Linked DNA regions of Callithrix jacchus. The main gene of each other region encodes a partner of the protein of the gene in region 2 in a complex. Links are inferred from orthologs where the notes say so. Each region holds a gene or a part of one and is shown on either strand. Other genes may lie near its edges. The genes, in order: NELFB and NELFCD.

Region 1 (5,928 bases), on a different chromosome or scaffold from region 2:
TAAACTCCATCTCAAAAAAAAAAAAAAAAAAAAAAGAAAAAGAAATCTCGGCTGGGCGTGGTGCCTCATGTCTGTAATCCCCACACTTTAGGATACTGACAGAGGACTGCTTCAGCCCAGGAGTTCAAGACCAGACTATGCAACACAGTCAGACCCCCAACTCTACAAAAATAAATATTTCATTAGTCCAAATATGGCAGCGCATGCCTGTGGTCCTAGCTACTCAGAAGCCTGAGGGGGGAAGCTGGCTTTAGCTCAGGAGGTCAAGCCTGCAGTGGGCTGTGATGACGCCACTGGACTCCAGCCTGGGCAACAGAGTGAGACCCTGTCTCTTAACAAAAATAGAAAAAAAAAAAAAAGTCCTGCACAGTGGCTTATGCCTGTAATCCCCGCACTTTGGGGGGATGAGGCAGGCAGATAGATCATTTGAGCTCAGGAGTTTGAGCCCAGCCTGACCAATGTAACACTAAAGACATAAAAATTGGCTGGCATGATGGCACACACCTATAATCCCAGCTACTGGGGTGGCTGAGGCAGAATAATACCTTGAACCTGGGAGGCAGAGGCTGCAGTGAGCCAAGATCGCACCACTGCACTTCAGCCTGGGTGACAAGAGCGAAACTCCATCTCAAGAAACAAAACAAAACTGAGGGAAAATTTGAGTTTAGAATAATGCCAACATTATTAACAGGCAGAACCTTGGATTTGCTGTCCTCTGAAGAACGAAAAGCAAATAACTGAAATATTTGAAAGGTGAAGAACCAAACAGAAGCAGCTTTTTAGAAGTAGGAGAGGGAGCTGTAACTTCTCGTTAGGGGCCTTTCCGCAGATTTTAATGTTGTGCACATATGGTTTTAATCGAAAGTAAAATACATACAAAGAGAAAACCAACCTTCCTTCTAGCACAAGTCCCAGGCCTGCCACCCGCAAGAGTAGAACCACCCTGCCATTCACAAGGCAGCAAACAGTCGATCCCCAGGTAGCTGAAGGGCCTGGCCATGGCACGCCCAAGAGGTGCCCCACCCTGCACGCGGCCTCTCCCCTCTCACCTCACCCTGGCGCCTGGTCTTGGGGGAAGGACTGAAGAAGTTGTGCAGGACGGAGAGCTCTGTGCTGAAGAGCGCGCTCTCCTTCTCCAAGATGTACTGCTTCAGCAGCGGGGAGACCTCGTCCCCAAAGAGGGCCTGATTGTCTTGCCAGATCTGCCTCTTCACCTCCACGGCGCAGGCTCGATACAGCTCCTTGTCAGCCATTACGAGCTTCAGCTTTTTCTCAGGAACCTACGCGGCACCACAGGCTGCCTGTGAGCGGCACCTATGTCCCTGGGTCTCCCTCGAGTCCACTTCAAGCCACGCCCCACTCTACAGGGCACCTATGACTGGGCCCCCAGTCCCAGCAGGTTCAGGCAGACGTGCTAAATACCAACAGGTCTTTCCCAGAAGGGGCCCCACGCCCCAACTCCAGTGCCAAGCTTCAGTCTCCACGCGGCTCACGCGGGAGAGGCCAGCACAGGAGCCACCACGGACAGCACTCAGGCAGGCGGCTCACTGGAACTTCCATCAACCAAGAGCATGAGGGTGGGTGGACGCCCGAGCCAGCAAGGTTTTAGGGTCAGGGTCAGGGTTAGGGTTCTACCTTGGGCAGGTGCTTCATGACACACATCACCACAGGCTGCAGGGACGGCATCTTGACCAGAGAAAAGCTCTTCTCCAGAAGGTCTTCCAGCTTCTTGTACCTGGAACAACTCACACGATTGATGGCGTGGCAATGGGCCGAATCAGAGCAGCTGTCTGCATGTCCCAGTCAGATAACGGCTGCCAGGCCAAGTCTCCACACGCAGAACACGAGAGGCAAGAGGCCGTTCAGACACAGGCCCAGGCCACCTCTGGGAGCAAGGCTGTGCAGCCAGGAGGATGATCAATGTCCAAGTCGATCTTAGGCTGAGAGGCCGACAAGGCTGTGCAGCCAGGAGGACGATCAATGCCCGCCGGGCACATATCGGACCCGCCCACCCACCTTTCCTCAGCCTTCCCCTCCGAAGCGATGGCCGACACCCGCTCCAGCAGCTTGTCTCGCAGCTCATCGAACACCGACTGGTGGAACTCCAGCCGCGGCGTCCCGTGTAGGTCCAAGAAGGGGAGGGCCGACTGGAGAGAGGGCAGCAGCACGCCGTTCTCTGTCTGAGGAAGCAAAAGGTCAGCTGCCGCCCACTGCGCCCGGGCACCCGATGTCCTGCAAGCACAGGGAGGCACGAACCCCAGGGTTCCCGGCCGTGCAGGGGCAGCGGCAGCCACCAGAAGCCACCCAGCCGTCCAGCAAACCGACGCCAGCTCGGGACTCCACCCCCAGAACGGGACTCAGCCACTCGAAGAAAGCCGGGAACTTCCGGCGCCTCCGCCAGGCTCGACTCCCGCGCAGGCGGCCTGGCGGTCGACCCGGGCTGCCCCCGCCTCGAGGCCCGCCCCACCTGGAACTGCTCGATGGCCTTGAGCGGCTCCGTGCAGTTGGTCAGGGTCTCCTTCAGGTCCTCGCCGTTGGCCACGCCCAGGTCCTGCAGCCCCGCGAACATGGCCGAGGCCCCGGCCGCCGCCCGGCTCGGCGCCCCATCCCCAGCCCGCTCCCCCGGCGCCGCCGCAGGCGCCCCAGAAGCCCGCTCCGCCGGGCCTCGGGGGCCCCCCGAGCCCCGCTCCCCCGCGCCCTCCAGCTCGGCCAAGTCCCGCCCGCTTCGCGGCTCCGCGCACACCGCACCGCCCGGGTCCGCCAGCCAACCGGCCCCCGGGAAACACCGCCGCTGCCGCGCGCAGGTTCCTGGGAGCAGCGCCCGCCCCTCGCGCAACAGGCTCCACCTAGCCAGCCCCGCGCGCGTGCGCCCTCCGGTCCCGCGGGCGAGCGTGGGTGGGTGGGAAAGGGGCGCCATTTCAGCCGAGTGGATTTCGTGCGCATAAGCGTGTAAAACGGTCTTGCGGATCTCGCAGCAGCCTCGCGACGCGGGACATGTTGCCCGGGGTTGCGCCCCCAGCCTCTGCGCCGCGCTGGTGTGTGACTCGGGTGCGGCCTCCTCGGCGTAAAACCGGCACGAAGCCCCCACCCCAGCGCTGCGGCGAAGGCTGGGTCTCAGCGCCTTCAGGCGGGGGCCTGGCGGAGACCAGGCGCGCGAACGACGGCCGCCCTCCCCGGCCACGGAGGCGCTGGCACCCGCCAGCCCCGCGGAGCCGTGAGGGAGAGTCCAGGTCCCGCAGCGCCTCTTCTCGTCCCAGGCGGGCTCCCCGGGCCTCCCCGTCGCCCTCCCGCACGCTCTGCCGCGCCAAGCCCGACACATTCTCTCTTTTCTATCTGTGCTGCTGAAATTTTTCTCTACAAATTTCTTTCATGCTGCCCAGCAAACTCTTGCTCTTCCTTGAAGGCTCCCTCTTCCACCACCTCCTCCAGGAAGCCCTCCCTCCTTCGCCCAGCTGGAGGAGATCGCTCCATCCTTCCTGCTGCTCCCGCTTCCAGCTTTGGGTCTCAGAGGTGCCAGGTGGTGCCCGGGTCGCCCCAGCCGTAAGCAGAGCTCCTGTTGCTACGGCCAGGCAACCACAGCTCTATTGCCACTGGAATAGACCCCTAGCTGGTTTGGTGGCAGAGGGGGACAAGGGGCACAGCACATACACAGTCCTAGGCTTGGAGTCCTCTGTGCGAAAGGGGATGGAGCTGACGCCACAGGAGCAGCTGCCCAGAGCCTTTTTGAAGGGGTTGAGCTCTGGACTTGGTCTGGGCCCGGGGTCCGGGAGGTACAGGTGCAGTCACAGTCACAGGGGCGACACGAGCTGCAGGTAAGCCTCCTGCAAGGTACGAGGGCAAGCCCGGCAAAGCTACAGGACCAGCCCTCAGCAGGGGCCCAGAGTCTGGGGCTGTGGCTCAGCCTACAGGGTCCTGGGCCAGTTTCCACAGGTGACTCACCCCAGCTGAAGGCCTAGATGAAGTGGCGCTGGGCCCTAGTGAGCAGGTCCCTGGGCCCCTCCTGAGGGCTGGTCAGGCGACCCCGTCTACTGGTGGCTCAGGGCATTTGTTGCTTCCTTAAAAACCAAGTCAGTTCCCTGGCTCAGCAAGCGGCTGACCCTCAGGTGGACAGCAGCTGGACTGGGCCCCTGAATGGCACGGCTGGGTAGGGGTGTCCCACAGAGCCTCCCATCTCACTCCAGGCTAGAGCTCAGTCAGTGGCACGCTGCCATATAGAGAAAAGAACACCCTTCAGGGCAGCCAAATGGAGACTCCTCAACAGGGAAAGCCAGAAATGACCCAGTGGCAGCCATATCTCCAGGACCGCCCCGGGTGAAGGACAGACAGCTGCACACTTCGGAGCATGGGAGAACCCACAGCATCTCTGTATAGCAGGGTGTGGGCAGATGGGGGCTCCAGGCTGGACTGGCTTTGTCCACAGTCCATAGAAGGGTTGTCCAGCCAGGAGGGTGCACCAGGGGTGCCCAGAGGGTCAGGGGCCAGGCTGGGGCGCCGAGTCCCAAGGGAGGCCTGGGAAAACCCCAGGAGAGGCCAAGGTTCCACTCGTTGGCCGGGCCAAGCTGGCTTTGCCCAGTGGGCTCTAGAGTGTGCAGAAGGGGCCAGCGTCGTGTCTCTTGGGTCTGCACACGCCAGGTGCCGAGGGGAAGCGAGAGTTGTAGCAGTCCTCCACGTGGTAGGCAGCCAGGCCGGGGGTTTGGGCTGGAGAGAGAGAGAGAGAGAGCGAGCCCCACCCAGCTGGCTCAGAGCCCCCACTCACACCTGGCTCCCGGCCCCACCACACTCACCCATGGCCCAGCCCTTGCCCTCCCCTCTCCAGGCCTTACAGCCACTGAGCCAGGTGGGGAACACCGGGGAGTGGCCCATGGAGAAGGCTGGCGGGCGTGGGCTCTGCAGGCAGCTCCCAGGAAGAATGTTGTAGGTGTTGGGGCCAGGGTGCCTCTTGCCAGGTGCCTGCAAAGAGGCCTGGAGCAGGCACTGGGGCTGCTCCTGGAGACCAAACCCCCTGGCCCGAGGCAGCCTGGGGTGGGTGTGGCCCTCAGGTGTCTTGGTGGCAGGGTGGTGGCCCCTGAAGCTGAAGGCGGGCCGAGCGGCTGGTAGTTGGCTGGTGAGGGCCACTGCGAAGCAGCAGGAGACCGTTGCTGCAGGGCAGGGAGCTCCCAGGACCCTCAGTCAGCCCTGCTTTGGTCCCGATGGAAGCCCCAGCCCCCGCCTGCCTGGACTCCCTGCCCCCTTCCTGCCCAGCCCCCACCTTTTGCTTTTGGTTGAAGTTGGCCTTCTGTGTGAAGGGGCTTTCACTCTGGAACCACACTGTCTGCCATACCCTGCACCCACCGCCCTCTATAGTGGGGTGGAAAGGCCTCAGGCTGTGGGGGTACCAGTGCAGAGGCTGAGGCCCCCATTCCCAGGGTGGGGACAGGCCTGGTGGTCGGGCCCCAGGGAGGGAACACACACCTTGGCCCTGGTGTTTGCGGCCAATGCTGTAGTGGGGGTGTGGGGAGGACTCTCGCACAGACGGGCTTGGCAGCTGGTACTTGGCGGGGCTGGGGACGTCCAGGTCAGCTGTGATCGGGGGACGTTGCTCCAGCACTGGCCGCGGGAAGCAAGCTCTGGGCCTGGGATGGTTCCAGCAGGCCCCTCCCACAGCCCCCCAAAGGCCAGCCTGGGGTGGGGGTGGGGCAGCCAGGACCCTCACTCACGCAGCTCCCTCAGGGTCTGGGTGCGGATGGGCAGGGACTTCTCGGGGGCTCCCATCTGTAACCCGAGGCCAGCTGGGCACTCCTTCATTTTTGGGGGCTGTGTCTCATCCCAGGCCAGCCCTGGCTCCAGGCCCAACAATAGCACGGATGCCTTGGGCCTGCACCGGAGACCCCCAGCCACTGTCCTTCAGCCCCTGGCCCTACAGCCCAGCCCCCATACTGTTCCTCAGCC
Region 2 (5,928 bases):
CTTTCACACGCTCAGAGCAAGGAAACAACAACAACAAAAAAAATCCAAACGTTTCCTCCTCCTCATAATTATGCATATTCGCTGAGCACCTACGATGTGCAAGCTCTCTGCTCAGCGCTTGGCATACCTTATTACATTCAATCCTTAAAGATGACCCTCAGTTAACACAGACCTAACTCCCTCCTGAGATCTGGCCCTGCCTGCCCTGCCTGCCCTGCCTGCCCTGCCTCATCTACATTTCTCCTTAGCCTGCCCAGTCCCAGTCTCAGTGGCCTCTCTGTTCCAAGAACACATGGCTGGCCTTTGCCCTGGCAGTTCTGCTCTCTGGAAATGCTCTTGCCTGGGTCTTAGCTTGCTTGGCCCTTTCATCACATGACTCTCAGTTCAAATGTAAGTTTCTCAGCGGCCATCTCTGATCTCCCCAAGAAGGTCTCTCCTATTATCACAGAATACTAGCACCGATCATCTCTGTCCTTATTTTATTTGTTTCCCCCTGGCCCCCCTTTCAGCTCCTTCAGTAGAAGGCAGGCTCTACCAGGGCAAGGATCATGTCCAATTTGTTCACCACTGAGCTCCAGGGAGCAGCACAGAGTCGAGCACTTAGGGGACACTCAATAAACATTTGTTGAATAAACATATTCCCTGATAAGCCCTCCATAAATGTTCACTATTATCAATATTCTGGAGCTCTTTAATACCCTTTCCTTACTGACATGGGCATTACCCTTCTTTTTTTTTTTGTTTATAGACAGGGTCTTACTTTGTCACACAGTCTGAAATGGCATGACCATTGCTTACTGCAACCTCAAGCTCTTGGGCTGAAACAATCCTCCTGCCTCAGCCTCCTGAGCTGCTAGGACTGCAGGCATGCATCACCATACCTGGCCGAGGGGATGGGGATGTCTCTGTATGTTGCCCAGGTTGGTCTCAAGCTCTTGCCTCAGGCAATCCTCCCACCTCAGCCTCCCAGAATGCTGGGATTATAGGTGTGAGCCACGGCGGTCAGCCATGGAAATTTCCTTTTAAAGTATCCAGATCTGATGGCGTTAAAATTTCACCCTGCTTAAAATTTTCCACGATTTGGACACAAAGATGGGAACAACAGACCCAGGGGATTCCAAAAGGCAGAAGGTGTGGGAGATGGGGTGGGGTGGGGGGGGGGTGAGGGGGTGCGGGTAAAGGTTGAAAAGCTGCCTATCTGGTACCATGTTCACTACTTTGGTGAAGGGATTATTAGAAGCATCACACAATATACCAATGTAACAAACCTGCACATGTACCAAATTTAAAATTAAAAAAGCACACACACACTCAACAGCCAACAAAAGCCTTTCCGTGATTATCAAGAGGCTGTCATGTTCTTACTCCCTACTTCACATTAGAAGTGTGCTGCGGGCTTCACAACAGCATCACCTGCGCCCTTTGGCAGCTACCAGGGAGGTCCTTTCTCCAGAGATTTTTGTGGGCTCTGGACACTTTTGCTTTGCGGGCCTTTCCTCCATTTAAAAAAAAAAAATTAAAAACGTTACTTTCCACTGCATTTAGTACTTTTTCTTTTCTTTTCTCTCTTTTTTTTTGAGACACAGTTTCACTCTGTTGCCCAGGCTGGAGTACAGTGGTGTGATCTTGGTTCACTGCAACCTCCGCCTCTAGGGTTCAAGCGATTCTCCTGCCTCAGTCTCCCTAGTAGTTGGGATTACAGACGCCCGTCACCACGCCTGGCTAATTTTTGTATTTTGAGTAGAGATGGGGTTTCAGCATGTTGGCCAGGCTGGTCTCGAACTCCTGATCTCAAGTGATCCGCCCTCCGAGGCCTCCCAAAGGGCTGGGATTACAGGCGTGAGCCCCCACGCCCTGCCGCGTTTAGTACTTTTTACCAAAAATAAAAGAAATTAAAACACTTTCGTGGGTTCTAGACACTCCCCAAAGAATTTGTTCCCAGCTGTCCGATGAAGAAACTGGCGCTCGCAGGGCTGGTGCAACAGGAGTGAGACCGTGCACGAGTCCAGTTGGAAACCTCTCTGCATAAGCCCCTGGCCCACCCTAGCAGCGCTCAGAAACCGATTGGGGGGCGTTCCTTTCGCCCGGTCCTCTTTGTTCCTAGCGGGAAGCCCGCGGCTCTGCTCCCCCTCCAGGCCCCACCCCTTCCTCCAAGCCCCGCCTCCCGCCCGGGCCGAGCGCGCGGGGGGCGGGGCCGCGGGGCCGCGCGTGCGTCCGCTCGCCCGTTTTCGCCTCGCGCATGCGCCACGCTAGCTCGCGGTAGAGCATGGCGGTGTCCGCGCCGGGAGCCATCATGGATGAGGACTACTTCGGGAGCGCGGCCGAGTCGGGCGACGAGGCTGACGGCGGCCAGGTAAGGCGGGGCATCGGGCGCTCCCCGGCGAGGATCGTTCGTCTCCGCCGCCGGCGGGCCGGCTCCGCTCCCGGCAAGCCCGCGCGGCGCGAGGCCGCGGGCGTGCGGGGTGTGTGCGCGCGCACGGCCTGCGCGGTCTCCGTGTGGTTCTACACAGCCCGCCCCGCCCCCCCAGCCCGGGGTCCCTGCGTCTTCGCCTGCAGGACCGTGGGGCGGGGACGAGGCGGCGGTGGCTCTGGAGCGGGACAGCCCGAAGCCCCCAGTGACCCCTCGTTCCGGCCAGCCTCGGCGCCGGCCCTGCGACCCCCACGGCGGGTGGGACACCAATACTAAGGTGGAGGGTTGGGCTCGAAGCCCAGACAGTTTTAAACAAAAATAAAATGGAAAACTTCACACCAGCATCGTGGGGAAAAAGTAAAACTTTGGGCATTCCTACTGTGTTTCACTGTTTTATAAACTGTACTCTTCAGCACCCCTGGCCGATTTCATCTGTCTTTGGACAAAATAATGAAAAGGATCTTCTGGCCTTGACCTTCCAGGGTTTGGAGTGGAAGCCCAGGAGGGGTCACTCTATTCTCCCCTGAGGACAGGGCCTGCAGAGCCAGGGAAGGCAGTTCTAGTCAGGCTGGTTTGTCACCACCTTTTTCTAACCTTTTTTTTTTTTGTTAATGAGAGCTTCTTATGTTGCTCAGGTTGGCCTTGAACTCAGCCTCGCTTCCTCAAGCGCCAGGACAACTGGCCGGAGCCTTTTTCTAATCTTAAAACCCACCTGCTGCGCATGATTGAAATGTGCAGCTTCTCAGGTCCCTACAGTTGATCTGCACGAGAGCCTAGGAACTTGCATTTTTTTTTGAGGCAGAGTTTCACTCTTGTTGCCCAGGCTGGAGTGTAATGGTGCAATTTCGGCTCACTGCAACTTTTGCCTCCCTGGTTCCAGTGATTCTCCTCCCTCAGCCTCCCGAGTAGCTGGGATTACAGGCGCCTGCTACCACACTCATTTTTTAAAATTTTGAGTGGAGAGGGGGTTTCACCATGTTGGCCAGGCTGGCCTCAAGCTCTGGATCTCAGGTGATCCATCCACCTCGGCCTTCCAAAGTTCTGGGATTATAGGTGTGACCCATGCGCCTGGCCCAGGAACTTGCATTTTTAACAAGAATCAACAATGGGGATATTTGGTCCATTTTGAACTGGTATTTTGAGGGAATGAAGGATGCAGTGGGCTTACTTCAATGAACATGGATGGTGGTGTGATGACGGCTTCGGAGCTGTGGTAGCAAATAACAGGACAGGCGATGTGTTTCTGGAACTGAAAGAAGGCCTGTGAGGTTAGCTGCCTGGTGGAAGCAGTGGCAGGAGGTCAGTAGGGAGCAGGTCTGAAGATCCTTGGAGAGCCGCTGAATGGCTTGTTCAGGAGTTTGGGGCAGGAGGTGATATGAGTAGATTTGCATGTTGGATCATTTCACAGCGTTGGAGGCTTAGGGTAGAGTGGATAGAGAGTCAGATGTGGCTGAGAGCCTGGGCCATGTGCTTCATGCATTATCACCTTCCACACTCAAGATTTTGAGTTGGGTGTTACTCTATCTGGTAAGTGAAGAAAGTGAGGTGGAAAGACTTAATGACCTTCCCAAAGTCATGAAACTAATAAAGGAAGGAGAGGGGACCCAAACCCATGTCATTTGCCTCTATTGCAGCTTCATCAAATTGCTGACCACCAAAGTGGTCCAGATGAGAGGGTATGAATTATCTTAGTGGTGGGTTGGTGTTTGGGGCATCTCGTATATCACCTTGAGACTTTTTTCTTTCTTTCTTTTTTTTTTGGGGGTGGGGGGGAGTCTCACTGGGCTGCCCAGACTGGAGTGCAGTGGTACGATCACGGCTCATGTAACCACTGTCTACCAGGTTCAAGTGATTCTGTGGTCTCAGCCTCCCTAGAAGCTGGGAGTACAGGCACCTGCCATCATGCCCAACTAATTTCTGTATTTTAGTAGGGATGGGGTTTCACTTTCACCATGTTGGCCAGGCTGATCTTGATCTCCTGACCTCAGGTGATCTGCCTGCCTCGGCCTCCTAAAGTGCTAGGATTACAGGCGTGAGCCACCACGCCGAGACTTTTTCTCTCTCTCTCTTTTTTTTTTCAGACAGAGTCTCACTCTGTTGCCCAGGCTGGATTGCAGTGGTGTCATCTTGGCTTACTGAAACCTCTGCCTCCCGGGTTCAAGTGATTTTCCAAGTAGCTGGGATTACAGGCTAATTTTTGTATTTTTAGTAGAGATGGGCTTTCATCATGTTGGCCAGGCTGGTCTCAAACTCCTGGCCTCAAGTAGTTTGCCCGCCTCAGCCTCCGGAAGTGCTGGGATTATAGGCTTGAGCCACCACCCCTGGCCTCACCTTGAGCCGCTGAGTCAAAAAGTGTTAGAACTGGGGAATGTAAGGGCCATCTAATCTGCCTTCACTTCCAACTCTAGACCCTGCTGTTGGAAGATTGGGGAATTTTTTTTTGAGACGGAGTCTTGCTCTTGCCCAGGCTAGAGTACAATGGTGTACTCTTGGCTCACTGCAACTCTTATCTCTCAGGTTCCAGCGATTCTCCTGCCTCAGCCTCCCTAGTAGCTGGGACTATAGGCTCGCTAATTGCCTGGCTAATTGTTGTAGTTTTTAGTAGAGATGGGGTTTCACCATATTGGCCAGACTGGTCTTGAACTTCTGACCTCATGATCCGCCTGCCTCAGCCTCCCAAAGTGCTGGGATTACAGATATGAGCCACCATGCCCGGCCTCATGTTTGGGGAATTTTGATCATGATCCTAATGTATCCCATTGACACCAGTGGGCTCTCATTGATGAGGAGGGTGGACCAGATGTTCATTTCATTTTTATTCTGTGATCCCACTTGGACGAGGGACAGAAAGTTAGGAAAAGTGTTAGGAGGGTGGCAAGAACTGGATTTTAAAAGACAGTTGGTGACTCACATTCCGTTCACTTGATGCCATGTTCCATATATGGTGGAAGGCGGGAAGATGTGTAAGGAGGCCACTGTGATGTTCAGTCAGGATGATGGAAACTAAGAGCTACAGAAATGCAAATAGATTAGTCTGGCTGCAAATTGTAAATGGGGAGTGTCGAGGGGTCAGAACAGACAGAGGAGCAGGTGGGAGGGGCACTGTCGTGTTAGAGCTTGGGTGTTTTTCCTGAAGGAGATGGGAATTTTTAAGGAGGAGAGTGATGTCAATTTTGTGGCTTACAGAGATCACTGTGGCTTCAGTGTGAAAGATGACTGAAAGGAAGGAATGAGACTGAGACTTTAGGGGAATGTTGCCACTGCAAGCATGCAAAAAGTAAGGAAGAGGAGAGGCGAATGTGGAAAGAACCGCCACCTTGGGTAGACAGTTAGGAGATGGAATTGACAGGTCTTTGTGACAGGATGTGGGGGTGGGGCGAGGGAGAGAAGCTGAGGATGATTTTCAGGCTTGGGGGTAACGGGTAAATAGATAATGGAATCCTTTACTAAAATATAGGTTGTAGGAAGAAGATCTGTTTCCAGGGAAAAGATGTCAGTTTTGTACCTGTGGAGTCTGG

What was found.
Region 1: the proteins of NELFCD (region 2) and NELFB are in contact, whole or in part, in a crystal structure (PDB 8JJ6), measured with the Homo sapiens proteins. The link is inferred for Callithrix jacchus from reciprocal best matches to the Homo sapiens genes NELFCD and NELFB. Residues at the interface, in XP_047296144.1 of Homo sapiens: Arg63, Ile66, Met67, Glu68, Pro69, Ile71, Phe72, Leu75, Ile89, Gln90, Leu92, Ser93, Tyr96, Thr97, Ala98, Val99, Ala100, Gln101, Thr102, Val103, Asn104, Leu105, Leu106, Trp109, Leu110, Gln112, Thr113, Gly114, Val115, Gln121; in NP_056271.3 of Homo sapiens: Met49, Leu53, Leu56, Val58, Ala59, Asn60, Gly61, Leu64, Lys65, Leu68, Thr69, Leu75, Ile78, Glu79, Phe81, Gln82, Glu84, Asn85, Gly86, Val87, Leu88, Leu89, Ser91, Leu92, Ser94, Ala95, Leu96, Pro97, Phe98, Leu99.

What each region holds. Positions count from the first base shown.
Region 1 is NC_133502.1:185,660,490-185,666,417, reverse strand, and holds the start of NELFB (negative elongation factor B), read right to left. Parts: upstream 3,419-5,928; 5' UTR 3,320-3,418; coding exon 2,468-3,319; intron 2,181-2,467; coding exon 2,017-2,180; intron 1,736-2,016; coding exon 1,636-1,735; intron 1,281-1,635; coding exon 1,050-1,280; intron 1-1,049. UniProt on the Homo sapiens protein: Essential component of the NELF complex, a complex that negatively regulates the elongation of transcription by RNA polymerase II.
Region 2 is NC_133506.1:54,548,436-54,554,363, forward strand, and holds the start of NELFCD (negative elongation factor C/D), read left to right. Parts: upstream 1-2,256; 5' UTR 2,257-2,266; coding exon 2,267-2,353; intron 2,354-5,928. UniProt on the Homo sapiens protein: Essential component of the NELF complex, a complex that negatively regulates the elongation of transcription by RNA polymerase II.